Linked DNA regions of Saccharomyces cerevisiae S288C. Changing the gene in region 1 together with any one later gene gives a genetic interaction. Each region holds a gene or a part of one and is shown on either strand. Other genes may lie near its edges. The genes, in order: PUS4, PUS1, TAN1 and ZRC1.

Region 1 (7,806 bases):
AAATCAAATATGTCCGCCTTTTATACTTTAAGAAGAAAAAATTTATCTTTTTTCTTCCTCATATTGCAGGTATCACCCGAATGGAAGTTATAACGGCACAATCACTTAGGGCTTAACATACAATAACAAATACCATTTTTAATGTTGTGTTCAGTTGATTGTTATTATTATTAGGTATCCTTGATTATTTAAATTTATAATATATTATGTATCCGTTAATTATGCTCTATTAAAAATCTTTCTCCCACTAAGAGCCCCGTAAGGGCCATCTTGTTTACCACATTAAAACCCATGTTGACTCATGATCTGTTCCAGATCCCAACTTTGCCTGTTGACATTGTCGTTCCATTTCTCTACCGTCCTGACGTAATTCGTGTTAGCGACTGTGTTGTTCGCTATGTTGGTTACATCTTTTAGCCTTCTTAGATCATTACAACTGTCGACTAGAGTAGCAGAACTTAAATCGGATGCTATCGACACGTTTCTCTGTTTTTCGTAGAGTTTGAATCTGTTGTTTGATCTGATAGGACTCGTGCCAGCACAAGTCCTTCTGTTCATGGACATCATCATGTTAATTCTCTTCCTTTGGTCGCTGGATCTTGCCAAGTCTTGCTTGATGGGCTCTAATAGAGGCTGCAGATCTAGGATCAAATCTTCTGTGTTCACCCTGAGGTCCCAGTTCAACAGCTGTAACAACTGCCTTTCCATAAGGTTGATATCCTCTAGTGTAAAGAGACCATCGGTGTACCTAGCCCAGTGCTTGTTTAAAGGAGAAGAGTCATTGTGAAACTTAGCACTCAGTATCAAACAGGCCAAGAAAATGCGATGGATGGTCGAGGGGAGACCAGTAGCGTCCCTGGGCAGAATACGCTTTAATTTGTTCAAATAGCACGCAGCGGTGAGCAGAGTGGGTGTGTAGACGTTGGTGTATCTGACCAATCTAGTGATAAAAGTCATTAGCGATGGCAGCCTTGTGAGGTGTTTCTCTCCTGGAGAACCGGGAGGCGTGGGGTAGTTGCTTGAAGGAACAACCCTCAATGTTGTGTCTGTTAAGAATTTTATTATGTCATCCGTTACTGGCGACTTGAGCAGAATATGAAGAGCCTTGCTGTATTCACACATTTTATTACTTTACTGTTATTTGTATAATTGATTGTTTTTGTTATCGTTTTTGTTCTTGACAATGGATGATTGCTGATGTACGCAATAGTAATTCCAAGACACAAGAGTTAAGGACAAGCTTATCAATCCCATTACCATGTAGGCCTATTGACCTTATATATGTTTTCCTATCGCTATATGGAAGCTACCATTCCTTTTATTCTCCATAATAACGCCAAAATCTGCCCACAGCCTTGTAGCCTCATTTGGCTCCCGACATTTCGAGTCGCTTTTGCGTCGCATGCCTCCGCGAAAAATTTCGCGCCGGACGCGATTTTTAACACGAAATTCTTGTTCGTGCCGCTGTTGCCCTTTTGGGAAATATTTCCCGATCTGGCATTCGCAGAACACTAGAGCCAGAGTTCTGCCATTCTTTACGTCCAAGAGGTTAAAGTACAGATCACGTAACGGAATGCTACTTTCTGTAACAATTTGGCGATTCGCATTCTCAGTTGTTAGCTAGACGCCAATTGATTTACGGTTTCCGGTATGCAAATTGAAAATGCTTTCATCTATTTCTTTTATTTTTTTTATTTCGTTCTGGGCGTTGTGTTATGTTGTTATATTGCACAATGCAGTTGTTCTGTACATATTGTATCTATACATATTTGCGTCGATTATACGTTGGCTTTAACAGTTTCGTTCTCGAAGCTGGCCTTGATGGCGCCAATGACCGCGCTGCCCTGAATCTGGTCGTTGCCACCCTTGGATATCGAGTACTCTATATCGGCCAGTTTGGTAAGCAAATGCACTCTTGTTTCCTCATTTTGAAGTTCGTAGTCTTCCAGTATCTTCACTATGCCCTCGATTAGGTCGATCAACGCGAGACCCTTGGCACTGCGTACCTTATTAAGTGTGTAGTGGGCGGTACCCCAATCGTCCTCCAGTATCGACTTCAATACTGCCTTTAAGTCACTTGGTCTGGGTGCCCCACAGCATTCATAGATAACGTCGTCACTGATCTCATCCTCGTCGGGATTGTCTAAAGTAGCTTTGCAAGACTGCAAAACGTTTAACACACGTCTCATATCCCCATTAGAAAGTTCTATTAAGGCCTTCTCCGCATTAGGAGACAACTTCAGCTTCTCATGCACCAAGACGTTGGCTATCCGACGCTCAATGGCCTCTTGGGGCAAGGGCTGAAATCTGAATCTCGTGCACCTACTCAATAACGCAGGTGTAAGTTTATGCGCATAATTGGCCAATACACAGAACCGCGTATTCTTGGTGTACCGTTCTATAACTCTTCTCAACGCATTTTGTGCGGCATTGGTCATGGCATCTGCTTCATCCAGTATAATTAACTTGAACCCTTTAGAGAAGATTTGTCTTGTAGAGGCAAAGTCTTTAATTTGATTCCTCACCACATCAATACCTCTGTCATCGGATGCATTCAGCTCCAAAACCATGTTCGAGTAATTCTTACCATATATCTCACGTGCCAAAGCAACAATTGTAGAAGTTTTACCGGTACCTGGAGGCCCATAGAATAGAAGATGTGGCAATTTACCTTCATCTACAAATTTACGAACTGTGGTGATCACCTCATTTTGTCCGTACACTTCGTCCAACGTTTCGGGTCTGTATTTTTCAACCCATGGAAGGTTTTCTTTGCTCCTCTTCTCTGTACTTGTCGACATTCTTGTATGTCGGGCCTGTTCCTACACCTTTTATAAAATTATTCAAGCTTTGAAAAGATATTTATCCTGTGCTCTTTATAGCTTCTTTCCATTTCTTTCAAAATCGCGTACTGACCAAAAAAAAAAAAGATCAAAATTGAGAAGCCATACATAATATAATAATGATATAGTTTCGCTGCCATCGGACCGCAATAGTAACTCTACAAGTAAACGTGTTGTTTTCTCAAGAACAGGTTACTGAAACTGAGCCATTGGTTGCGGAAAATTTCCCTAATAATTTCGACCGGCTGACGTACCGTTTTGGCTATTTCTCAAATACTTGACTGGCTTAACTGCCATACTGAATTGCAGTAAAACCCGTAACACTACAATTTCTGTCCAGCGGCAGTATTATTTCTAAGGATGATAGTGTGGCAAGCACTATTCGTGGTTTACTGCCTATTTACCACTTCTATTCACGGTTTATTCCAAGACTTCAATCCTTTCGCAAATAAGAATATTTCCTTAAAGTTTCCCAGCCTAAATAGATGGGAGAAAAACGTTATGGCTACTGGTCAACAAACAATCATCAATTCGGATAGCATTTATGAATGGACCCCGATCTTATCTAACATAACAGCGGGCAAAAAAGACAGTTTTGTATTTACCATTGACGCAGAAGCCTCCGGTTATGGGTTTGCTCCCACGTATGAAGTGTTAATGTTTATTAGCGGCAATATATGCCAAATGCCCATGAATAGATCAGATGTGGATTTAACAATATACTACTCTTTTAATGAAACGGTTTTAGAGAACCCAAATATAGGTCAAAGTGCAGTTTTTCAGGATGGCTACATCCAAGCATTAGCCATCAGTCCAGTGCAGTCTTCTAGCTCGAACGCTACCTCCACGTATTCAAATCTTTATGTGGTCGCTGAGCTAGTGAATTCCACTACGGAGCAACCTCTGTCCAGTTCCGACGCCTCTGAAAATTGGGAATATAGACTGAGTATCTCTGAGAACGATTTGGTTTTTCAGTGGGATGTAAGGCCTTGGGTAGAGGTCCTGGACACTGATATGAATTCTGCATTACTATCAACGGGGAATGTCACCGCAGACGCCAAAGTTTATCACAATTATTCAATATATGATCCATCCTTGTACGATCTGTATGTTTACTCGTACGAAGATTCTGTTCAACTAAACCAAAACTATAATTTATCTCTTTGTGCTGTGAAAAATGGACCATATTTAGTGTCTTCCCAAAATACATCAAATGCAACAGTTACGTCAAATAGTACAAATCCTTTAGAGCGTACTGACTTGGCGATTCAAAAAAAAATTACAGAATATGGTGGTAGCGTGACAGAAATGTTTTACGTGACAGGACTGAATGCCTCAACAACTTATGTAGCGTACCTGACAAAGAAAATCAGTAATGGTGATGGGTTGTCAAGTGTGGGCGGCATTTTATTTTCACATGTTTATTTTACCACAAGAAGTACCGATGTCTGCTCTTTGATCTTTGGTTTGGACTTCTGCAGTGACGTCGCTTACTCTGTTCCTACATCCTCATTTTCTGTGGGTAATAAAACTCTCATGGCGCAGACATATGACCACATTGCAGAGGCACTATATGCAAATTTTAGCAAAGCTCTACAGTTAATATCCTGTGACGCAGACAAAGACGCAAGATATTCTCCGGTCATGACTTGTGACGATTGTGCCGAAGCTTATCGTGATTGGGTATGTGCAGTATCAATTCCGAGATGCACCACGACGTCTTCCCAATACTACATCCACAGAGATAAAAGTCACAACCGTAATGATTATTTGAATAAATTTATTAAACCTTTGGATGACTATTACGAAATTCTACCTTGTATTGACATGTGCTATACATTAGTACGAAATTGCCCAAGCGATTTTCAATTTTCCTGTCCGAATGATCTTACTACGGAAGATCTTCTTTATCAAAGTTACAATTTCTATATGGACACTGACTACTCAACCTGTAATTATATAGGTAACTCATCCTTGATGGTAATTCATCCATTGGACGATACGTAGAAGAGACCGAACTATCACAAAAAAATTGAACGATTTAAATGCATAAGTACATCGATTTTTTTTAAATCATATATACACATAAAAAAATAGATAAAATGAGAGCGTAGTCTTCACAAGACCAAAAAAAAAAATGGTTCGAACTTCCTCTTTTTTACACCTGTTCGATTTTTCTTTTTAGTGTATTAGAATGTTCTTCGGCGTTAGCAGTTTCAATTGTTTCAGCCGTAGCCTCATCACCAGGTTGATCACTCGAAACTATACATTCCTTCACGTCCGCTGGTATTTCCTTTTCTGCTTTCTTTAGCTCTTCTATAACATCAACAGTTGCTCCCTCGTCTAGAACCTTCTCCAGTACCTTACTCCACACCTTCTCGTCTCTTTCAGTAAAATCCGTTAATTGGAACACATTATTTTTTTCAAGAGACCAGTCCTGCTGTTGCAAACGTATCAATTTCACCATATAACATGAGCTCCTCATAGATTTACCGATGTCGCTCACTAAGGACCTTATGTATGTTCCAGAAGACACATTAGCTTTGAAGTGCAATTTTGGAGCCCTATAAGAATCTCCTTCTTTTTGGATTTCTTGCTCTTCTTGTTCACTCAGCGGAAATGGTTCTTCTACCTTTGCCACCTCAGAATCAAGGCCGTGCTTCTCTGTATATTCTTTTGAAAAGTATAAAACATCGTTTAGCATGTTTGCATTCAAATTTTTCACGGTATCAACAGCTTCTTCTGTAGTGGGCCTCAATAAGGGATAGTCATGATCACGTTTAAGAGAGTCTGAAAACACCTTCAAGTCATAAATAGTAACTTGTCTGGGCTCAATGGCTCTAGGTAAAGGCTTTCCTTCTCGAGCATATTCATGCAGGGGTTTGCCATCCATCTTCAAAGCTGCGTATATTGGCGGCGTCTGCTTTAATTGTCCAACAAATTTTTCCTCCACAGTCTTTAAATCATCGAAATTTAAATGTTTAACGGAGTTCTGGGACAAAATCTCACCTTCTACATCTCCTGAAGTAGTGGAAACACCAAACAGGGCTTCACTTTCATAGACTTTAACGGTGCCTGAAAGATAATTTGCAAGTTTTTTGGTGCCCGCTCCAATCCCAATTACCAGGACACCAGAGGCCAACGGATCCAAAGTGCCTCCGTGTCCCATCTTTACCTTTGAGACTTTACGAAGTTTCCTCTTGCTGGCCTTCTTACCTGTCTGTTTTTCATATTGCTGCTTTCTTTCCGCTGTTGCCCTTTGAATTTCCTTCGAGAATACTTGACTTTTAGTTAAAGCATGTTGCAACTTTAGCATAAACTGATTGGATGTAATACCGCTAGGCTTCTCAATAGCAAATATTCCATTCATGTTCCCCTTGATTGAGTTTTCTTTTTATGTGATGCCCTAACTTACACAATTTACAAGCTTAGCTCATCTTTAACAAATTTTTCACCTCGCTGTTAGAAGATATCATGGAAAATTGCCAGATCAATACCAGAGAAAAAACGCCAAACAAAATTCTCTGAAATATAGATGCTCAAAAAAAAATAAGTCTGTGTATATGTATATGTTTTATATGCTAGTTAATTATCACATATTTGTTTATGCAAAAACAAAAACAGGAAGCAAAAGTTAGTCACCCTTGTCTTTTTTCTTCCTCATCTGCTTCACTTTCTCCTTGATGCTATTATTCCAATGAACTCCAGCTAGGCTCTTTTTAAACCCATATACCTCTGAAGATAATGCTTCATTGACTGCATCACTTGTTATGTGGATACCTTTATTATCTGTATTATCATTAATTGGCAAATCTGCCTCTGATGTTGAATTTCCAAGAAGTTCACCATATGTCTTAAATTTGAGACGCTGAGCGGCAACAAATTTTCGACACCTGTCTATTTCATCCTGATCTAACCTATTTAAATTAAATCTCCTTTTGAAAATGATTTTCTCAAAGATCTCATTTGGGTTCAATAATGTCTTAGGGAATGTCTGTATGACCTGAAAAATTTCCATATCGCTATCTTCTTGGCCCATTGATCCGCCTCTCTGGTTTAAGTTAGAGCCCCAAGAATAATTCAACGAATTGTTACGAGGTTTTATTTTCGAAAGGTCATGCTCGCTCAATTTTAAGACAGCCAACGAAACTTTGAATAGAAAATGTGATTCCTCGTAAAACAGACAATCCCATATTCTAAGCGTGGTCTCTATCGGCACTACACCGACAAAGCAACTCATGAACCAGCTCGCCGTGCACAAAGTAATGGGCGGAAGTCTGTACAAGAACTCATTCTTTTGCATATTGAATAAAACTTTTTTATTTGACGGAGAAAAAGTTTTGTTATTTTTTTGGTGGTGGTCAATGGAAGGCTTAATGTACGACCAAACTTCTGGAATATATTCTTTGACACATAGCATCAGTACCCCTTGGTCGATGTTAACACCTTCTAGATTGATATTATGCACCCCCGGTAGGTATCTTGAAGTAATAATCACTAGCATCCAAAAGGCCCTTTCCTCGTCTAAAAATAACAATAGCAAGCCTGCAAGAAAGTTCATAGATTGACAATAGCCAATCTTCGGATTGTAGAGAGAGAACGCAACAAGCACCCGGCGTAAAGATTTTATAATCGGAGGTCCCTCTTTGTTATGCAAGCTACTTTGGAAATGTATATTGTCCGGAAATGTTCTATTCAAGTCACGTTCAATAATATCCAAGTCTTGAACTTGTTTTTCATTAGGGTTTTGTTTCTTGATCTGCTTCATCTTTCGTAAAAGTTGTGAATAGACGCCTTTATTCTTGTTTAACTTCTCTTGCCCTCTAGCGAAATGCCACCATGCATTTCCTCTCCATTCCGCTGGAATGCCCTTTCTGACATACCTTTTTAACCGTTCACTCTTTGATGGAAATCGTGAAGGAGAATCATCGGTCACTGGCAACCCACTTTTCTCCAACAGCAA
Region 2 (4,294 bases), on another chromosome or scaffold:
TGAAATAAACCTTATCTATCTTTTTTTTGTTCCTGGTTTTCAAAGTTGATTTTCGACAGACCCTAGTTAATTATAGGAAAAAGCCCTATTAGTCTTTTTCTTATCATAGATGACATTTACTTATATTAGGCCAATCGCATACTCTGCATCCAACAAGCCTTCAACAGGTCGAAGTGAAACTACAGGACTTGGAAAATATCAGTTTTTATAAGCAATAATGAAGTTCACCCCTAGCATAGTTATTGATGCTCCGCAATATTATGTTGATCATTTTAATGGCAAGTATAACGTGGATAAATGTGTTATTTTAAGAGACCTGCAGCTAGAAACGGATTCAGAATCCATGCCATCCAGCTTAAAGCATTTGACCAAACCTACGCACATCTTGGATTTGACAAACAATGACCTTATCATGATTCCAGATCTATCAAGAAGAGACGATATACATACATTACTGTTGGGCCGAAACAATATCGTTGAAGTAGACGGTCGCCTATTGCCTATGAATGTACAGAACCTTACATTATCGAATAACAGCATAAGAAGGTTTGAAGATCTTCAAAGGTTGCGTAGAGCGCCCAGGACGTTGAAGAATCTAACTTTAATAGGGAATCAAGTATGTCATTTAGCCAATTATAGAGAACATGTACTTCGATTAGTACCGCATTTAGAGACTTTAGACTTTCAAAACGTAACAGCTGAGGAAAGAAAGAGCGCAATGAGCTTTCCAAGGCAGGCGGACGGCGATACGTTGGGCCCAGTAAATACTGCAATAAGAGATAATGGATCCAGAGATAAAACGATGGAGATCATGAATTTGGTGGTGAGTAAGATGACAGTAGAGAGAAGAAATGAATTGAAAAAGCAGTTAGCAGAAGCTACTTCTTTAGAAGAGATTGCCAGGCTGGAAAAACTACTCTCTGGTGGTGTTTAATCTTTTGGTTAGTGCGACTGTTCAATGACTTAAAAAAAAAGAATTATAAATTATTCTGTGCCATTATATAATAATATATAAAACGAAAACAAATAATGGTGCTCTATAAACATTAGAGGACAATGTCAATTTCAATGTCAATGCCTTAGAAATTAAAGTTGGTAAGAAAGAAGGAAAGGGCAACCTAATTAGCTGCCGCTTCCGGTTGTACTTCAGGTTCGTTGCTCTGAGTGGTGCTGGATATTTCAGCCTTTTTACTAGCAGCTTCCTCCTCTTCCATTCTTTTTCTTTGCTTAATCTTCTTATTGCTCTCGGGCGCATCAGTAAGACCTGGGATACCCTTAGCTGTCAAGAATTCGAAGATACTCTTTTGCACAGCAGGTCCCGATTTATCGGCAGTTTCTTCTCCCTGTGCTCCAGTAACCTTGTTGAAACTATCAATATAACTAAAGAACGCATTAAAAACATTTTCGTCCACCTCTTCCTTGTAGATCTTATCGTAGATATGCTTCATTTTGAACTTATCCACTTCGTCTTGATATTTGGAAAAATCGATCGCCTTGTAACCAAACTGTTCTAGTCTTTTATTATAACCTTCAAATACTGGAGCTTCTAACAATAATCCTAATGCAGGTGCCTTCGGAATATTAATCTTCTGCTGTCCGTAAGCCTGACTAATGCGTTCGACGGGGCAACCACAACGGGTAATTAAGGTTGCCATTGATACCATCTTACGAATTTGATGTAGCATGAAAGACTGGCCGTGAATCTTGATGGAAATCCATTCTGTTTGGGCATCGCCAATAACAAATGGATCAGATACTTTTATATCTTTCATAAATCGAATGGCACTTGGTTCTTTGAAGTCCTTGCCTAATGTAAAATTATGGAAGTTATGAGCGCCAAGGTATTGACTTGTAGAAGCACGGAATTTGGCCAGTTTTGCCGCGGATATACGATATCTTCTACGGTGAGCATTTTCTAATTGCTTGTACTTTTTTACCTTCTGGTATAGTTCTTCATTTATATCAAATTCATCTCTTGCGGGCGGAACATATGCTAATATAGCTTCGATTTCTTCTGTTGAAAATTTTTCATTCGCATCTTTTTTAAACTCTTCCCAAAATTCTTTGGATTCCAAATCTTCATCTAATACACCAGGTAATTCTGTTTTACTTTCTTCGATGTCTCTATAAAGTATAGAACCAGGTTTGGGGCCAATGAGTGAATAAGTTGGTAATAAGTATTCGTACCAACGTGAACTGCACATTTTTCTACAATCAAACGCCTTGTTCACACGCTCGATATCCCATACCCTTATCCCTTCCGGTAACTTTTCGTTGATCTTCTGCTTGATATCAGGATCTTCAATAATCATTTTCAATGATATTAAATTACCTCCAGCATGGACACCCTTATCAGTTCTTGCAGCTCTCATGAATCCATTCTTTTTCAAATCGTTGGAGTTGTCCTTGGAAATAGCACCTGCTTCAACAAATGCTTTGAATAGGGCAGACTCGATGGTTGGATTTGGTGGATTATATTGCATACCATGGTAGCCAGTACCACAGTAACCAACCATAACAGCCACCTTTCTCTTTGGGAGACGAGGCTCCTTGGGAAGTGGATTGCCATTTTCATCCAAACGAGGACCGCTTTTTGGTCTTTTATCTATGTGTTTGTCATTATCCTTTTTTTTGTCCTTTTCATCGTCGAAGTCTGCCTTACGAGCTTTGGTCAATTTGCTCTGAGCGCCTCTCTTGTAGACATCCTCATTAACTTGATCGTCATAGGCAGGCCTCAAATTCTCTTCAGACATCCTTGATATCACTTATAATTGTTATTTACTAGCACTTTATTGTCCTTTATTATTTTTTTAGTACTTCTTGTATTTCAAATTTCTCGAACTATAGCGATGACTAAAAGTGAAAAATTTCAAAGCCAAAAGAAAAAAAAAAAAAGAAAATATTATTTCAGCGGCTAATAGTTACCCGCATCAAAATAATATATCTCTGTACGGTAATGAAAATTTTTGAAATATGCGATGAGCTTAGAACTAAAGTAAGCAATGTATTATTGAGGTAATTGACGGTTTAGTGATTGGATCGTATTCTAGATTTCCGAGTAGTAGAACCATTGAGGGAAACTATAGTTAGGTGCAATAATGAGACAGCTAACAGAAGAAGAGACCAAGGTTGTTTTCGAAAAACTCGCCGGCTATATTGGTAGAAATATTTCTTTTTTAGTGGATAATAAAGAACTTCCTCATGTCTTCAGATTACAAAAGGATAGAGTATATTACGTACCCGATCATGTTGCAAAATTGGCTACTAGTGTAGCAAGACCTAACTTGATGTCTCTGGGTATTTGTTTAGGTAAATTCACGAAAACTGGAAAATTCAGGTTACATATTACTTCTTTGACAGTATTGGCTAAGCATGCCAAATATAAGATATGGATTAAACCTAATGGGGAGATGCCATTCTTATACGGTAATCATGTGTTAAAGGCACATGTGGGTAAAATGTCTGATGATATACCAGAACACGCCGGTGTTATTGTGTTTGCAATGAATGATGTGCCATTAGGGTTCGGTGTCAGTGCGAAAAGTACTTCTGAGTCAAGAAACATGCAACCCACTGGTATAGTTGCTTTCAGACAAGCAGATATTGGTGAGTATTTGAGAGATGAAGACACCTTGTTTACTTAGTGGGAAGGACTGATGATGAATTCCCGTGTACATTTCACTTACAGCTTGCGTTATCTCTCACAATGTATTTTTTTCTGTATAATAAAGAATCATATAATTAGCGCTTAAAAGGAAAGAGTTGTTCGATAAAATGGGGAGCCTAACCCCTCGATGACCTTTCTTTTGAATTAGTCGAGTTCCATTTCATATACAATATTACATAACTTGACAACATTTGAGGATTACTAATGACAAAAATCTTTATACGCTCTATTTACGGCCCTTCTTCTTGTTCTTAGGCTTTTTATTAACAGTGGGCTTCCCTTTCTTTGATATGTCAAGGGCCTGTTCTGATTTTTTGTTCATAGCACCACCTTGAGTTTGTTTTGCACCTTGTTGTTTTTTCTTTGGCCTATAAGTAGACCTGTCTCTTAATGGCAGCCACCTTTCAGGATCAGGTAATTTGGAGGTGTCGCGACCTTGTAAAAATTTTTCGAGGCGTTTAATCTTTCTTTTCTTCTTTAGCTCTAAAACTTTTCTCTTTTGAACTTTGCTAACTGCGGTGTTTTTACTTCTCTTTGCTGACGATTCTAAGGGTTTCACACCAAGTTGAATTAATTTATCAATATCAATATCTCTCACTAGATCTATACCTTGTGCTATATCCAAAG
Region 3 (7,706 bases), on another chromosome or scaffold:
GTTTCACAAAAGCATTGTATTTTGCGAAGAAAAATCGTCTAGTCTTGACCATTGGGGAGCGGACCAATTGGTAATACTTTCCACAGTTCCATTTCTTACATTGTGAATGGATGACCTTGAATGCAGGCTGTATAGCGACCTTGTTCACTTTTACTGTAGCGTCATCGATGACAGGTTTGACAGCCGTGTCATATTTACGCGCCACTATATCGAAACCGGGACTAACTTTATTTTTGTATAATTCACAATTTCTTGAAAAGTAGGTGTTCCAGACTCTTGGATTGGTATAATGGCAAAGCGTTTGCGTGCGTTCACACGATATGCTCCCACTATTGAATTCGCAACAGTACTGAAGCAACGATACCAACACCGTCAGAGTTGTGATTAACTTTATCAGCTTTCCCATTTCGTTACGCTGCGTTCTTGTTTAGATGTAACAGCTTTTGTGCATCCAAGATATAAAGTACTTCAGAAATGGTGGTTGAAACAGAATGCCCATTACGCTTACTTTAAGGCTGTTCTTCAAGTTGATCCTTTCTTTGATACATGATTATCATCATGTACGTAGAAATCCGCCTTATTTCCGAAACCTGACTATCTTAGGGTTATACATAGAAACGTATAGGACATTTCTTACTTTTGAAAATTGTTCCTTGGGCAGTTCAGGGTTTAGTTAGGGTATTGATGCCAGCCCTAAATCCCCTAAATAAGAACTCTCGAGGATAATAACAGACAATAAACCAAGAGTTCATCCACGTATGATGGCTGTTTTTTATTCTGTCGGTTTTTGGTTGCCGTAGTAAATATAATTTGGTAAGCGTGTTGTGCTGTGTTGTGTTGTGTTGTGTTGTGTTGTGTTCTACTAATTGGATTGTGCGAATAAGTGAAACGGTTGCTTCACCCAGCGGGAAAAGGACAACCTGGTATTTGGTGTGAGATAAAGTTATAGACAATCTGGTCTTTTGTTATTAAGTTCTCTTTTCTTCTATACCGTCCAGTTTACTGCTCTCTTGCTTTTCGATAAAGCTAAAATAAAATAAAAATATGTCACTATGGCCCTTTGGAGAGACGCTGAGTCATTCCGGAATTGATTCGATACTTGAAGAGTACTATCTAATTTTTCGTAGTTTGGAGGGAAATGAGACCTCTTCAACTGACGACAAGAAGAATGAGCCTTCTATGGAGTCAGAGTCCGAATTTGGTACCGAGTCTCGGGATAGGAGTGACCTTAACCAGTCATTTATTGATAGGATCTTGTTGGAAACAGCTTTGCTGGATGAACTGAATGGAGCAGCCAACGACAGACTCGTCGACTTCATTTGCTTGGGATATTTCTATGACGACCGTTCCCAGCAGGTCCGCCACATGGACTACCTAGTGGACATGTTGATGGCTTACCTGAAGGACATAGACCGCACTGGTTATAGAACCCCATTTCTTTTAGAGAATTCATTCCATCAAACAGGTGAATATGAAGATCAGGACGATGAAGACCCAATGCTGTATGTCAACATTATTTCCAGTATTTTTTGTTCGAAAAGTGCGCCCATAGTGGAGGCACTCGTGCAAAATACCCCATTTTTGTCCTCTCTGTTCGAGGTTTTCCAGTTTGAAAATATTGAGGCAGAAAATTGTCCTATCTTGGCTGTTTTCCTTAAGATTAACGAAACTCTTCTGTTTGAACAGACATCTAGCTATTTGGAATTTTTCAAATCGCAACCGAACATTGTGGACAAGTTCTTATATCATATTGAAGTCTCACCCTTGGTTGAATTTCTCATTAAAATCATGCTGACTGATCAAGTTGAATCACCTACGAACATTATTGACTTCTTGTATCACCAGGATCTGATACCTAAGTGTTTGAATCTCTTGGAAAATAGCAAATACTCACCTGGTATTCAAAACAGTAGCGGAGAGCTTCTAAAAGCACTGATCAGCATTTCCACCAATTTTAAACTGGATACTTTGTGGATCGGACCTAACCGATTGACAAGACAGCTTGCCTCTCCGCAATATGTCGACCAACTTATTAATATAATCTTATTTCAAAGAGGCCATGCAATGGGAGTTGCCGTATCTATTATAATTGAGTTGATCAGGAAGAATAATTCCGACTATGACGAAGTAGATTTGTTAAGTACCACCATAGTAGACAATCCGCCTTCTCAAAGAGATCCAGTCTATTTGGGCCATTTGTTATATGAGCTCACTATGCATATGGAAGATTTTTATGCATTACTAATTAAACTTGAAAATGATGATGACGATGATCATGACACTGCTTCAAAAGCTCTTCCATCTGTTAAGCATCACCTACTAGAAAACCAATTGCATGAATCATTCAGGCCTTTGGGCTTTGAAAGAGTCAAGATTACAGAATTGATATCGGAAATGTTACACTGTTCAAATATGGGATTGATGAATTCAAAAAGAGGCGAAAAAATAGCACGTACCAGAGATAAATGCAGGGACACTCTTGATCAAAACTCACTAGAGAAAGCCATGAAAAATTTAAATATAAATGATAATACTATTACTTCCAATACATTAGAAGATAAATGTAATAATAATGATAGTAATGACAGTAATGACAACCAAAAACAAAAAAAAAATATTAAAAAAAAGTTTCATGATAATGAATTGTATTCTACTTTTGATACATCTGATGACAATATTGATGATGATGATGATATGAGTTTTGAAATTCCTTACGTCAGTGAAACGCAAAATTTGAAAATACGTAAAAACCCTACCATTGGAGATTTATTCAAAATTAAACTTCATGACCTTGGGTTTTTTCCAAAGTTTCTACAATTATTCTTAAGATATCCTTGGAATAACTTTTGGCACAACATTGTATTTGATATTATTCAGCAGATATTCAATGGTCGAATGGATTTTTCTTATAACTCATTTTTGGTCTATTCTTTGTTTGATTTCAAAAAGTCTACAAGATTTATCCCAAAACCTTTGTACGGCAGCAACCAAAAGTTACCTGTTAAAGACTTCCATATTATCTCTGATTTCATTTTACAAGGCCACAAGGATTCGTTTGAATTTTACGAAAAAGAGAAAACAAATTTAGGTTATATGGGTCAATTAGTATTAATTGCCGAAGAAATTGCGAAGTATTCCAAAATTTATAAGACCGATCTAATTGCTCCAGATATATATGCCTTCTTACAAGATGAAGTTTGGATGTCATATTCTAGTGACATCTTGAACGAAACAAGGACAATGTGTTCAATAATTCTTGGTGGAGGCCAGTTCTGTGCCGAAAGCGATGAAAATACTAACCAGGACTTTTTGGAAAAAGCTGATATGAGTAAACCAGCTCATCCATCCACAATGGATGAGAATGAAATTGTTCACGAGGAGGATGTTAAGTTGCATGATAAAGTTGCCGAGCTCATAGATGAATTGGGTCAATTAACCGAATTAGATATTCATGATAAAATTAAAGATGTTATTGTTGATCATCATTCCGACTTAAATTGATTAGGTTAAGTCGTCAAACCAATTTTGACTTTTTTTTTCCTACATTTTTAATATTTTGTTTCTCGTTTTGCCTTATTTAATTTTGTGACATGTAAAAATTACGAAGCCTATTGGGGGCCAATTGAAGTAAACTAAATATAACAATAGTCCTTTGTAGTTCAGGAATGTTCACCAACTATTCACCAAAAATTATTGTCTAGCTTACTTTCAATAACTTATAGCTATCTATACAAAAATAATCATATAACTAAAGTCAGGCCCAAACCAGGCAAAACAAAACCATAATAATGGGAATTATTACACTATCCGGCAATGTTCTACATTTATTGAAAGCCTACCCAAAAAAGGGCCTTGAAGAGGTTTCTCAACCAGAGCCTAATACAGCAAATGATTCCTCGACTGAATATAAAGGAAAAAGCAAGGATGATTTTCAAATGGTCGAAAAATCCAATACAGATGAGAGATACAATTTTACAAGAACGAAAAAATGGTTTTTATTGATGACCTCAGAATATTACAAACTAATGGAAAACAGACTTTTAATGTTTTGCATTATCGCTTGCTCTTTTATTTGTGCTATCCAATTTCTTTTCTTTATAATTTATTGGACCAACATTGTTCCACGGAAGACGCAAAGGGCAATAACTAACCTAAATTACGATTATTTAACAGCCCATCTAAAAGAGCAATGCGTTCCATATGCGAAAATTCTTGACCAATGTATTCTCTAGCAATCTCTGCTTTTGTACATTCGTAGTTTTTTCATGTTCCTTTCATAAATAATAAAAAAAGCGTATTCTTTTCTATATAAATAGAATGAAAAAAAGTTGAACATAATATCAGTTAAGGTTAAAATAAAGCCAAACGATATAAGCAACAGAAATGAGTGAACAGGAGCCTTACGAATGGGCTAAACACCTATTGGACACCAAGTATATCGAAAAATACAACATTCAGAACTCAAACACATTACCTTCACCACCAGGATTTGAAGGTAATTCCTCTAAAGGAAATGTTACAAGAAAACAACAAGATGCTACATCTCAAACTACTTCTTTGGCACAAAAAAACCAAATAACAGTATTACAAGTACAGAAGGCATGGCAAATTGCGTTACAACCAGCCAAATCTATTCCGATGAATATTTTTATGTCGTATATGTCCGGTACATCCTTACAAATCATTCCTATAATGACTGCCCTCATGCTACTCTCTGGACCCATTAAAGCAATATTTTCAACAAGGAGTGCATTCAAACCAGTGTTGGGTAATAAAGCAACACAAAGTCAAGTGCAAACTGCTATGTTCATGTATATCGTATTCCAAGGCGTCTTAATGTACATTGGATACAGGAAACTAAATTCAATGGGTCTCATTCCTAACGCTAAGGGTGATTGGCTACCCTGGGAACGAATTGCTCATTATAATAATGGATTACAATGGTTTTCCGATTGAGAGCGTATATACTTATATAAAATATCTATTCTGTTTCATATATGATTATTGTTTTACACTCTTATCTTCATCCTTTCGGAATTTCGATTCATAAAGCTGTTGAACGTTGTATTTACGATATTTGGTTTTATAATCCCCATCGACTACACACATTCCGATATTGCTCTTAAAACATTCCACTAGAATCAATTTATCATAGTTCTTCAAGTCCACAGTATGATTAAACTCAGAACCCTCTTTATTGACCAGCTTCACAACTTGATTAATGATGTCCATTCTTTCAATCGTATTGAAATTTCTTCTTGTCACTTCTACAGCAAATTTATAATTTTTTTTAACATTCGAAGGGTCATGAAAGTGTGGCCCAATAACCAAATTGGCCAACTTGATTAATTGCTCCATTTTTGCATTACAAGAGTACGTAATAGGTGTTAATTTCTGAACATATCTAGTACGTTTAACCATATTTTTGGGATCCGCTAAGTCTTTCATGATACTTAGCACAAATTCTTCGGGAACAATTGGCTTTCTTGTTTTACAAAATGTCACGCACTCACAGTTCAAGTCGATGAAGGCTAAGGGGTCTTTCTTCTTTGTCTCCCCTGAAGATAAATCTTTGCCTGTTTCTTCACCTTTCAATTCTTGTAATTCCTTTTTTATCTGGTCTTCAATTGATAGATCTTTCTTTTCGTCATTTTCACTTTCATCTTCTCCTTCTTTGATATCCCCATAGAGTTCTTGAAATTTTTCTTCGAATAAAAGCTGCAACTCTTGGGCTGCTTGACGTTCATGTCTTCTAGAACATGTGGCATATATTCCAGACGTACCAGGGTCTAAGAATCCGGAAGATACTTTAAACTATTACTTTTGATCGTTAGTACTTAAAGAACTCTAATTCGTGTGCAGACAGACATACTTTCTTCCTGTTTTGGGAATTTGCATCCTTACCATTACGGTTACGTTTTTCACCCATAATTAAGATACTTATTTACACTAATTGTATGATACTTTTCAATATATAGTAGACTTTTGAGATGTATTTGGTTGACGTGAAAAATAAAGAGTTATTCAATGATAAAAAAAAAATTTATTTGAAGTGAACTTTTTCGATGCTAAAACCAAAAAACTCAAGACTGTCCGAAATTCTTTCTTATGAACGTACAAATGATTATACTGAGATAATATCTAATTTTTTAACGTCTATTAAAAAATTTGGCTATCCTACTCGTATTAGAGTCAATGACACTCGCTGATTCAGAGTTGAATATGCTGCTACTATCCATTACGCTAGTGTCATCGCCGTTAGCTCCTTCTACAGATGAGACGAAGTGCTGAATCTTGCTCAACAAAAGAGCCGCATCTTCCTGTCTAATTCTTGAATATTTTCTTAATCTTATTTCTGGTTCATTATAATCTTTTCCCTGAGTCTTTAATAACTCTATACACTGCTTCAACTCCATAAATGTAGCTTCTAGCGATTTGATATTATTTTCAAATAATGTTGGTGCGTCAACACCGTTGGCATTTGGAAATGTAGGCGTCGAAGGGGTCATTGGCGACTGGTATCCATTACTATCTATAGTACCTGGTGTAGAGGGGAAAATTCTGGGAATAATGCTCTCTAAATAATTGACATCAACTTCAAAATTCATTATGCTTTCATGTGTAATTGTACTTGGTGTGTCATGCAATAATAGACCCATGAATTGTCTCGTCAAGGAGTCAAATTCACGGAAAATCAATAATGTTTGGACGCTGTATGGTAAATTTTGTAGCGTGCTGGCAAACATCATTTCTAAAAATTGTGCCAGATCAATGATGGAGATATCCGGGTCTTGCCTTACCTCCGTTATTTGCCAGTCAATTTCAATAGTTTCAAGAATATCTGATATCTTAGAATCGATTAATTCAATTAACTTTGTTTCTGCCAATTTTCTGCTTTCCGCAAGATATTTTATCGAGGATAACCGTATTTCCATATCCGGGTTTTGTAAAATATTCTCTCTTGTCATGAAGTTACTAAATTCTTTTGCTGCTATGATAAAATAATCTAAATTGACTAAGATTTGTGCAATTTCTTCTCTCGACGTACTTTCAAGTTTAGAACGAATTTTTTTATTGACGATATCATTAAATATATCGTCCATTGTTTTGACCAAAATATTATTCAAAGTGTGTAGCTCATGACGATAAAATATGGAAAGAAATGCGGTTATTTTAGAATATGTTTTCTTAGCAAGTGTACACGTCATTGGGTATAATGGAGAAAAAGGCAAAGTCACAGCAAATGGCTCTCCGTTGGTTGGATCTGGCAGGGAAAGGTGTTCGCCCTCCTTCATCCAGCAAATCTTCAAAACTTTCTCATATAATGTCTTGTCATTAATGGATAAAGGCATAAAATCATCATCGTTTAACAAGATTTGAAATTCATCGTCAAAAGCTCTCAAGGAAACAGAGCAGAATTTCTCGAAAATTGAAACCAAAATTTTATATAAAGGTTCGATGTTCAGTTTGAAATTTTCTAAAATGGCAACATAAATACAAAGAAAATCTTTCAATTTAATCATGTCTTCTTCTGTTTTCAGCTTCTCATCTATGAAATAACTCAAATATGGTGACAACCTGTCCATGAGTCCATCCCAAAATTCATTTGTAGAATTATAGTTATTATCAACGAGGATAAATTCTGTAGCTTTATTCAAATTAATATCATATAATAAGAAGCCGAGAATTTTCAAAAAGTAATCCTG
Region 4 (7,950 bases), on another chromosome or scaffold:
ATAAAGCTAGGAAAAGCCCGACGTCATTATAGCTATGCCATCTACCACTAATACTGCTGCAGCAAACGTAATAGAAAAAAAGCCAGTCTCGTTTTCTAATATCCTATTGGGTGCCTGTTTAAACTTGTCAGAGGTGACTACATTAGGGCAACCTTTGGAGGTTGTTAAGACCACAATGGCTGCAAACAGAAACTTCACATTTTTAGAATCTGTTAAGCATGTCTGGTCAAGAGGTGGTATCTTGGGTTACTACCAAGGTTTGATTCCATGGGCATGGATCGAAGCCTCCACTAAAGGTGCTGTGTTGCTGTTCGTGTCAGCTGAGGCTGAGTATCGTTTCAAAAGTTTGGGGTTGAACAACTTTGCCTCAGGTATATTAGGTGGTGTCACGGGTGGTGTCACTCAAGCCTACTTAACCATGGGGTTCTGTACCTGTATGAAAACGGTGGAAATTACAAGACATAAATCTGCCTCCGCAGGTGGTGTCCCACAATCTTCTTGGAGTGTGTTCAAGAATATTTATAAAAAGGAAGGTATTAGAGGTATTAATAAGGGTGTTAATGCTGTTGCTATTAGACAAATGACCAACTGGGGTTCTCGTTTTGGTTTGTCCAGACTAGTGGAAGATGGTATCAGAAAGATCACCGGGAAAACCAATAAAGACGACAAGTTGAATCCGTTCGAGAAAATTGGTGCCAGTGCTTTAGGTGGTGGTTTAAGTGCTTGGAATCAACCAATCGAAGTCATTAGAGTTGAAATGCAATCTAAGAAGGAAGATCCAAACAGACCAAAAAATTTGACTGTTGGTAAGACATTTAAATACATCTATCAATCAAATGGTCTAAAGGGTCTTTACCGTGGTGTCACCCCAAGAATTGGTTTAGGTATCTGGCAAACTGTCTTCATGGTTGGTTTTGGTGATATGGCGAAGGAATTTGTCGCCAGAATGACTGGTGAAACCCCAGTTGCCAAACATTAGCGTGTATTGTACTATAAGTTTTTTTTAAAAAAATTAATTATTTAGCTTAGTCATTTTTTTTTTTTCTGAGGATATTGCTCTTATGCTGGGGTGCTTCCTATTTGTCTCAACTTGTTCTAATTGTACTAAGGTTATCAGCTATTTACTTCATGCAAACCTTAATATCTATAGATTCTTTGAAAGGAAGCCTTACCCATTTACCTCTGGCCGTTCATGAAATGTTGAAATTATTAAATTCTACAGAATTGATAATACATAAAAATAAACTATTAAAGTATCAGAAAAATATTTTATATCTTAAAATTCAAATATGCACAGTTCAGTAGAAAGTGGAAGGTCTCTTGTAGGAGAAAGTCTTGGTGGATTTTTGGACTCTGTGAGGCAATGGGAATTTCAAGTCCTTGGTCAAAAATTGCTTAACGTATTGTCTCTTGACGTCAGCAGTCTTTTCAATTTCAGCAACCTTCAAGATGTGAATAGATCTAAATCTAGCTCTGTGTCTGGCAGCCATGTCTTGGTATAAGGTTTCGACGGCAGCAACTCTGGAGACGTCTCTGATTTCCTTGTACATATTGTGAGTACCAGATCTGGAGTCGTATCTAACCCAGACACCGAAGTTCTTGACCTTGGTTGGATGAGCTTCGTTGATTTGGTTGATGGAAACAATTTCACCAGAAGCCTTCTTAACCTTGTGCAACTTTTGCAAGAAATACCAGTAACGAGACTTGGCAATAACTTCATTTGAAGCAAAGATTCTCATTCTGAACAACTTTGGTTCTGGAACAGATTCAGTTGGCAAACGACGGCCAATAACTTGGTATTCTTTAAAGTGAGCCACTGATAAAATAACAAGGATTTTCATGAAAAATCACAAATTTGAATGTTAGTATGAAGTCCATGTGACACATGAGAAAAGGGAAGCTTTTATGGAGGAGTTATTATCACATTCGCAAGGTCAGGTAATAGCCTTTTAGACATTTGAAAGATCCATGAAAGTTTAACTCAGGTGTTTCGTCATTGAACCAAAAAGAACCTATACACTTCTTTTGCAATCGTATTTCTAGGATGGATGGGATCATATTATTCAGCATGGTACAATTAACGTCGTTCATTTCTTTTCGGTCGTAACAAACTCGCTGTTTTCCTTGACATATTTAGAGTGTAATCCTAGTTGAACTATTTTAGTGGTGATAGTAGCTTAAGTTTTAAACGCAGTGTGGTCATTCATTTCATGATCGCTCCGAGCCTAGTTCTGCGATGTAGATGGCATTACTCTTCCATTTTTGTGGCATAGTTTAGTAGGTATTTACTCACTTTTTCCGCACTGTTTTTCCTTAAAAGACTTGAGGAACTATATAGATGCTTATGATTGTCCAAATTCTTCAACCTCAATGTTTAAAATGAAATTTGGCGATACCTTGCCACGGTCAGATTTTGGTACAGGAGGGAACAAGCAGGCGCCCGGCTTAGAGTTGGGCTAAGAGCATCAAATGTGCGCTGGATTCTGCCTCAATGCACTTAGTAAATTGCAGCAGGGTTTAGAGGGGAACGCTTATTGAGAAGCGGTATTCCTGGGCTGGTACCACACCGAAGTGAGCTTAATTTGTTTCCTGCTCTGCGCGCGCTGAAAAAAGTTAACTATTTGAGACATAAAAACGCTATTCTGGATGTATGGGGGTATTTTATGTTTGGGTTAAAAGTCTCAAAAAAAAGATGAGGAAGGATTGTGGCACATATTGCATACAAATTTTTAATGGAGATTTATAGCTAAAAGATAGCGTATTCATACATTGAATAACGCAGTTCTTGAGTTAGGAAGAACTGCCTTCTTCCTATACGTCTAAGAATTAATTATGTAAATAGTATATAGTTTATGTTCTCTGTAGAACCATGGGATAAATTCACCGACGGCTTCAGCCCTTTATATCTTTATTACAGGCAATTGGAAGTATTGCAGTTTACAGCGTCATCTACAATACAATTAGATGATGCTGTAGTAGCACCATAGGCAGTAGGTGAACGCTTTTTTCTACCATGCTCAGTGTTTCCATGGCTGTCAAAGGCTTCTTGAGACGAAGATGGTGAACCACCTGCTATGATAGAAAATCTTCTGCGAATATCCTCATTAACATCTCCAGAAACAAATTCTGGTTGAACAGTTGCAGAATGAATACCGTGTTGATGGAATATTTTTCTTATCAGCTTGGCGGAGCTCATGAATTTATCAGGTGCACAGTCTATTTGAACGTGGATAGATGCAATATATATTGATTCAGTTAAGTTCCAGACGTGGAAGTCATGGACCGCTATCACGCCAGGTACTGCCAAAATCTCTCTTTGAATCTGATCAGCAGAAATTGTAGAAGGAGTAGCCTGTAGTAAAATTCTTGAAGCTCTACGTGATAAGGGCAGAGCGGAAGAGAAAATAATAATGGTGATGATTAAAGAAACGATTGGATCCGAGTAATATCTCCAAGAATATTCAGTTTTCCAAATAAACAAAGCAGCTGCAATAACACCAATATTACCCAGAGCATCACCTAGTACATGTAAGAAGACACCATGCATATTCAAAGAGCGATGACCTGGTTTCTTCGATTCATGGCTGTGGTCATGATCATCGTGGTTCAATAAGGGTTGGCTTTCGTTTGATAATCTGTTTACTACTGATTGTGGCAACACTTCACCAATTTGCCCTGAGGGCCCAGGACTCGAAATAGCATCTTCATCGATGGCCAAATTATCGTTTGGAAGAGATGCATGAGAGTGGGAATGAGTCGCATTAGATTCTATGTCCAAATCGTTATTCCCGCTTTCCACAGAGCCATGAGAGTGTGAGTGCAGACTATCGCTGCCATGATCGTGGAACAAAAATAAACCTACGACATTAGAAATTAACCCTGCTACACCAACGTATAAAACCAACCTTGGGTTTTGAATTTCTTGAGGTTCAATCAATCTTTGTAAAGCTTCAATCATAATAGAGAAACACAGGGCAATAAGAAAAACAGCATTGATTAAAGCACCCAAAATTTCTGCTCTTTTCCATCCATAAGTGTATTTAGCGTCTGGACCCCTGTTTTTGGCCACATCCACAGCCCATAGTGCCACTAAAAGAGAGATGATATCATTCAACATGTGAAATGAATCGGCAATCAAGGCCAATGAATGTGACATATAACCTATGGTAATTTCCAATAGGAAAAAAACCGTGTCTAAGGTCAAAAGAGAGATGATTCTCAATTCTTTACCGGTGATCATGACTCTATTAGTTTCCTGGTATTCCTGACGGATATCGATAGGGAAAAATTACTGCGCCAAGCCCTTTAAAGTATCTTGAATGTTATATTCTTTTATGAAACTTTGAGCTCTGATGACTTTGCAATGAAAAGTTTTAGCTGATGCAGCAACCACCTCATTCCTCACCTTCAAGGCCATCTGAAGAAGGAAAACAGAGGGAGGGACGTTATTTTTCGCAAACAAAAACGGCATTTTTTTTCTTTTGAAAAATGAGGTTTTCCGAGGGTGTGTGGGTCTATGCCAAGAAATCATATTAGAGTTTTTGTTTCTTTAAGGTTGACCAGCAAAAACAAAAAGGAGTCACCGTTTATGACTTCCGTTATATGACATATATATTTTCGGCGTAGGTAGGGAAAGACAAATGCACTCACTACGCTGCGTCATGAAGAGAAAGTAGCAAGAATTTTTTTTGCTTCCTGGGAAGTAGGCTCAGCTAGTAAAAAGGGTTGTAGAAAGGAAGTCTGGCTGAACTTAGCCAGACGCCTTCCCCTTAGCAGAATGAATACTGTAGTCCGGAGATACATCAAGAGTCCAGAACTCAACGCAAAAGTTTATCTCATGGGACCTGCACCGATCTGCAAACCGAGATAACTTTCTTTTTATGTAGTAAAGATCTCAGTTTTTTTTTTTTTTTTTGAATCTGTAAACCTACCAGTGCCACGGCGGTAGTTTCTTTTTTCAAGTGGAAGTGCTTTAGTAGCAGCGGGTCCGCAAAGCATTATTGTTTCTTTTTTTTGATTTCTTCTTATTTCTTATTTCTTATTCTTTTTCTTATTCTTTTTCTTATTCTTTTTCTTATTCTTTTTCTTTTTCTTTTTCTTTTTCTACATCATCTTACTTAGCTACTCAGTCGATTTCATGGGCGATGTATCGGTGAATAAGAGAACGATATTTAATTTCTTTTTAGCTAGTTCTCTTTTTTTCACCTATAAAAATGCAACTACTTTCATATCATTTCCTTTCCCTCAAACAGGTGAGATAAAGATAGGACTCTTCTACTAAACATATATATTACTGAACGTCCCAATCGAATATCGAGAGAAAATGGTACTTTGCAAATTACTGACACCATATTTCTTACTGTCAATTTTGAGTGTCGGCGTGTTCACGGCGACCGCCGCGCCATCGCCCAGTATTCAAATGACGGAAAATACAAATCAAGATCATCATGAGCATGCCAAGCGTGGAGGAACGTGTGCGTTCCCTAACTACGATGGGATGGTCGCAGTACAAAAAGGTGGATCTAATGGAGGATGGGCTATGAGCCCTGACCAAGAATGTTCCTACGGTTCATGGTGCCCTTACGCTTGCAAACCAGGTCAACTAATGGGGCAATGGGACCCTTCGGCTACCACATACTCTTATCCTAAATGTCAAAATGGAGGTTTGTACTGTGATTCTAACGGTAACTTGCAAAAGCCAAACAGTGATAAAGACTATTGTTATGATGGGAAGGGAACCGTAATAGCGAAAAACAACGCTAACAGCGGTGACGTTGCATTTTGCCAGACCGTGCTTCCGGGCAACGAAGCTATGCTGATCCCAACCTTAGTCGGCTCTGGGTCAAAGCAAACGCTGGCTGTGCCTGGTACAGACTACTGGGCCTCCAGCGCGTCGCATTACTACGTAAATGCTCCCGGTGTAAGCGTAGAGGATGCATGCCAGTGGGGTAGTAGTGCAAATCCACAGGGGAACTGGGCCCCATTTGTAGCTGGTTCCAACATGGACGACAACCAGAACACTTTTGTAAAGATTGGATGGAACCCCGTCTACCTGGAATCGTCATGTCCGTTCAAGAACGTTAAGCCTTCATTCGGTATTAGAATTACTTGTGATGACGAATCACAATGTGAAGGCCTACCATGCTCCATTGACCCAAGTTCTAATGGAGTCAACGAAGTGACAAGTTCTGGCGGTGGTTCTTCCGGGGCTGGTGGTGGAAACTTTTGTGTTGTCACCGCCAGAAACGGCGCCAAGGCCAACATCGAAGTTTTTGATGTTGGTAGCGGCTCATCTTCTAAAGGCAAGAGAGAACTGAATCCGCTAGACGTTATTACCACAACGGTCACCGAGACCAAGTACAAGACAGTCACCGTCACTGCCAAAACTTAGCGCGGTTTTTTCTACCTTCCCTTTTTTCATCTTTTTGTTATATATATATACAGAGACACTCATGCGAATTTTCGCAAAACGAAGAAAAAAACATAAAATTTTCGTTTGTATCTACATGACTATCCTTTAATTATTACCTTTCTGTCAAATGTTTTATGGGAATATATATGTTAATATGAGCCAATAACTCACTAAAAACTCACTGATTTCGTTCCCTCTGTTTAGCTTCCTGCTCGATTCTCTTGATGGTCTGCTCTCTCTTAAAGTCGATGACCCTCTTCTCCTTGAAGTACTTGATCCAGCTATGGGCGCAATTCTCCTCAAATTTTTCATTTTCCACCTTGCAGTGCGACTTTATACTCTTGCTATTCTTGGGGTCCATTGCGTCCAAGATGTCTGCCTTGTCCAAACACTGGAAGAATGCGTCCCTGGACTCCCAGCACAACTTTCTCTGTGAACGGGTATTAGGGGGTTGTGATTCCTTTTTGCCACCATCAAATGAAAATAAGCCCATCGCTATATTACTACTATTCCTTTCTGTATATTCGTGTATCTATGTTCCTGCGCAGCGCTACAATAGTACCCGTCTATGTATGTATGTATGTATGTATGTAGGCGAATCTTCTCCCCCATTCTACAAAGCAGCACCTACCACCGCAGCACCGTTTCACATGTCCGTCTCTTTTGTTCAGCTCAGCTACAATCGTCAATCGCACTTTCTTCCGCGCGGGCGAGCCCGGTTTTGTTGGATTTGCTCAGGTGCCAATATACCATCAAGGAACGGACAGGGACCTGACAATACAATAGGCCATTTACATCACAATGCACAGGGACAGAAATTTATACACGATAACAATACCAACTAAACAAAAATATCTCCCGAGCCGATGCTTATTCCGCGGGTTCGATGCCGAAATAATTGTTGCATACGCTTTATCCAACACGATGGAGCGTGTTGGGCGCTTAAAGAAGAGACTCACTAAACTGTTCGGCTTTTTGGCTGCGCGTCTTTGCCGTTTCCCAACAAAAAACAATCATACTTAGTAACAAGAAAGACAAAAGCGCAAACCGAACCGCCCAGCTCAACCATCTTCGCCAAGTAGCGGCAAACTTATATAAGCTCCAACGATGTCCCCATCAATTAAGAACCCTCGATTGTCGGCGATCTATTTTTCTATTCTGGGTGTTTCTCGGCCTTCGTTCATCTCGTTCTTTCTACTCTTAGCCCTCATCTTTCTCTTCTGCATTCTTTTCACCTCATTAAGAACATTCGCGGCGCCGCTTTACCCCAACAAAAACAGCCCATCTTTTGTTCTACCTCTTTCAGATAAGGCTCAACAGATAGACAATAACTGATCATTCTTTCTTTTGTTTGCAACCCCTCTGAGTTGACATAAAAGCGAGAATACAAAAGAACCAGCATTAGTAACACATCATTTTTTTCTCTGTTCTTCACTATTTCTTGAAAAACTAAGAAGTACGCATCAAAATGACCGAACAATATTCCGTTGCAGTTGGCGAAGCCGCCAATGAGCATGAAACCGCTCCAAGAAGAAATA

Evidence for each region.
Region 2: mutations in PUS4 (region 1) and PUS1 together harm fitness more than expected from each alone (negative genetic interaction), as found in Saccharomyces cerevisiae (2 studies listed by BioGRID).
Region 3: mutations in PUS4 (region 1) and TAN1 together harm fitness more than expected from each alone (negative genetic interaction), as found in Saccharomyces cerevisiae (3 studies listed by BioGRID).
Region 4: mutations in PUS4 (region 1) and ZRC1 together harm fitness more than expected from each alone (negative genetic interaction), as found in Saccharomyces cerevisiae (2 studies listed by BioGRID).

The regions. Positions count from the first base shown.
Region 1 is NC_001146.8:81,213-89,018, reverse strand, and holds PUS4 (pseudouridine synthase PUS4), read right to left. Parts: upstream 6,214-7,806; coding exon 5,002-6,213; downstream 1-5,001. Other genes in the region: PCL1 (Pcl1p), read right to left, coding at 283-1,122; RFC3 (replication factor C subunit 3), read right to left, coding at 1,779-2,801; MID1 (Mid1p), read left to right, coding at 3,204-4,850; Rab GTPase-activating protein MSB3, read right to left, coding at 6,478-7,806. UniProt on the Saccharomyces cerevisiae protein: Responsible for synthesis of pseudouridine from uracil-55 in the psi GC loop of transfer RNAs. Also catalyzes pseudouridylation of mRNAs with the consensus sequence 5'-GGUUCRA-3'.
Region 2 is NC_001148.4:150,397-154,690, forward strand, and holds PUS1 (pseudouridine synthase PUS1), read right to left. Parts: upstream 2,754-4,294; coding exon 1,119-2,753; downstream 1-1,118. Other genes in the region: U2 snRNP complex subunit LEA1, read left to right, coding at 218-934; ribosome biosynthesis protein NIP7, read left to right, coding at 3,099-3,644; signal recognition particle subunit SRP72, read right to left, coding at 3,894-4,294. UniProt on the Saccharomyces cerevisiae protein: Formation of pseudouridine at positions 27 and 28 in the anticodon stem and loop of transfer RNAs; at positions 34 and 36 of intron-containing precursor tRNA(Ile) and at position 35 in the intron-containing tRNA(Tyr).
Region 3 is NC_001139.9:60,298-68,003, reverse strand, and holds TAN1 (putative tRNA acetyltransferase), read right to left. Parts: upstream 5,930-7,706; coding exon 5,873-5,929; intron 5,815-5,872; coding exon 5,002-5,814; downstream 1-5,001. Other genes in the region: SHE10 (She10p), read right to left, coding at 1-406; SAP4 (Sap4p), read left to right, coding at 1,045-3,501; YGL230C (uncharacterized protein), read left to right, coding at 3,789-4,232; chaperone EMC4, read left to right, coding at 4,384-4,956; Rab GTPase-binding exocyst subunit SEC15, read right to left, coding at 6,150-7,706. UniProt on the Saccharomyces cerevisiae protein: Probable tRNA acetyltransferase required for the formation of the modified nucleoside N(4)-acetylcytidine in serine and leucine tRNAs. Binds RNA.
Region 4 is NC_001145.3:751,927-759,876, forward strand, and holds ZRC1 (Zn(2+) transporter ZRC1), read right to left. Parts: upstream 4,241-7,950; coding exon 2,912-4,240; downstream 1-2,911. Other genes in the region: YHM2 (Yhm2p), read left to right, coding at 35-979; 60S ribosomal protein eL20 RPL20A, read right to left, coding at 1,299-1,816, 2,294-2,294; YMR242W-A (uncharacterized protein), read left to right, coding at 2,371-2,460; YMR244W (uncharacterized protein), read left to right, coding at 5,324-6,391; COA6 (Coa6p), read right to left, coding at 6,591-6,905; long-chain fatty acid-CoA ligase FAA4, read left to right, coding at 7,881-7,950. UniProt on the Saccharomyces cerevisiae protein: Vacuolar transporter that regulates zinc homeostasis by mediating zinc transport and storage into the vacuole.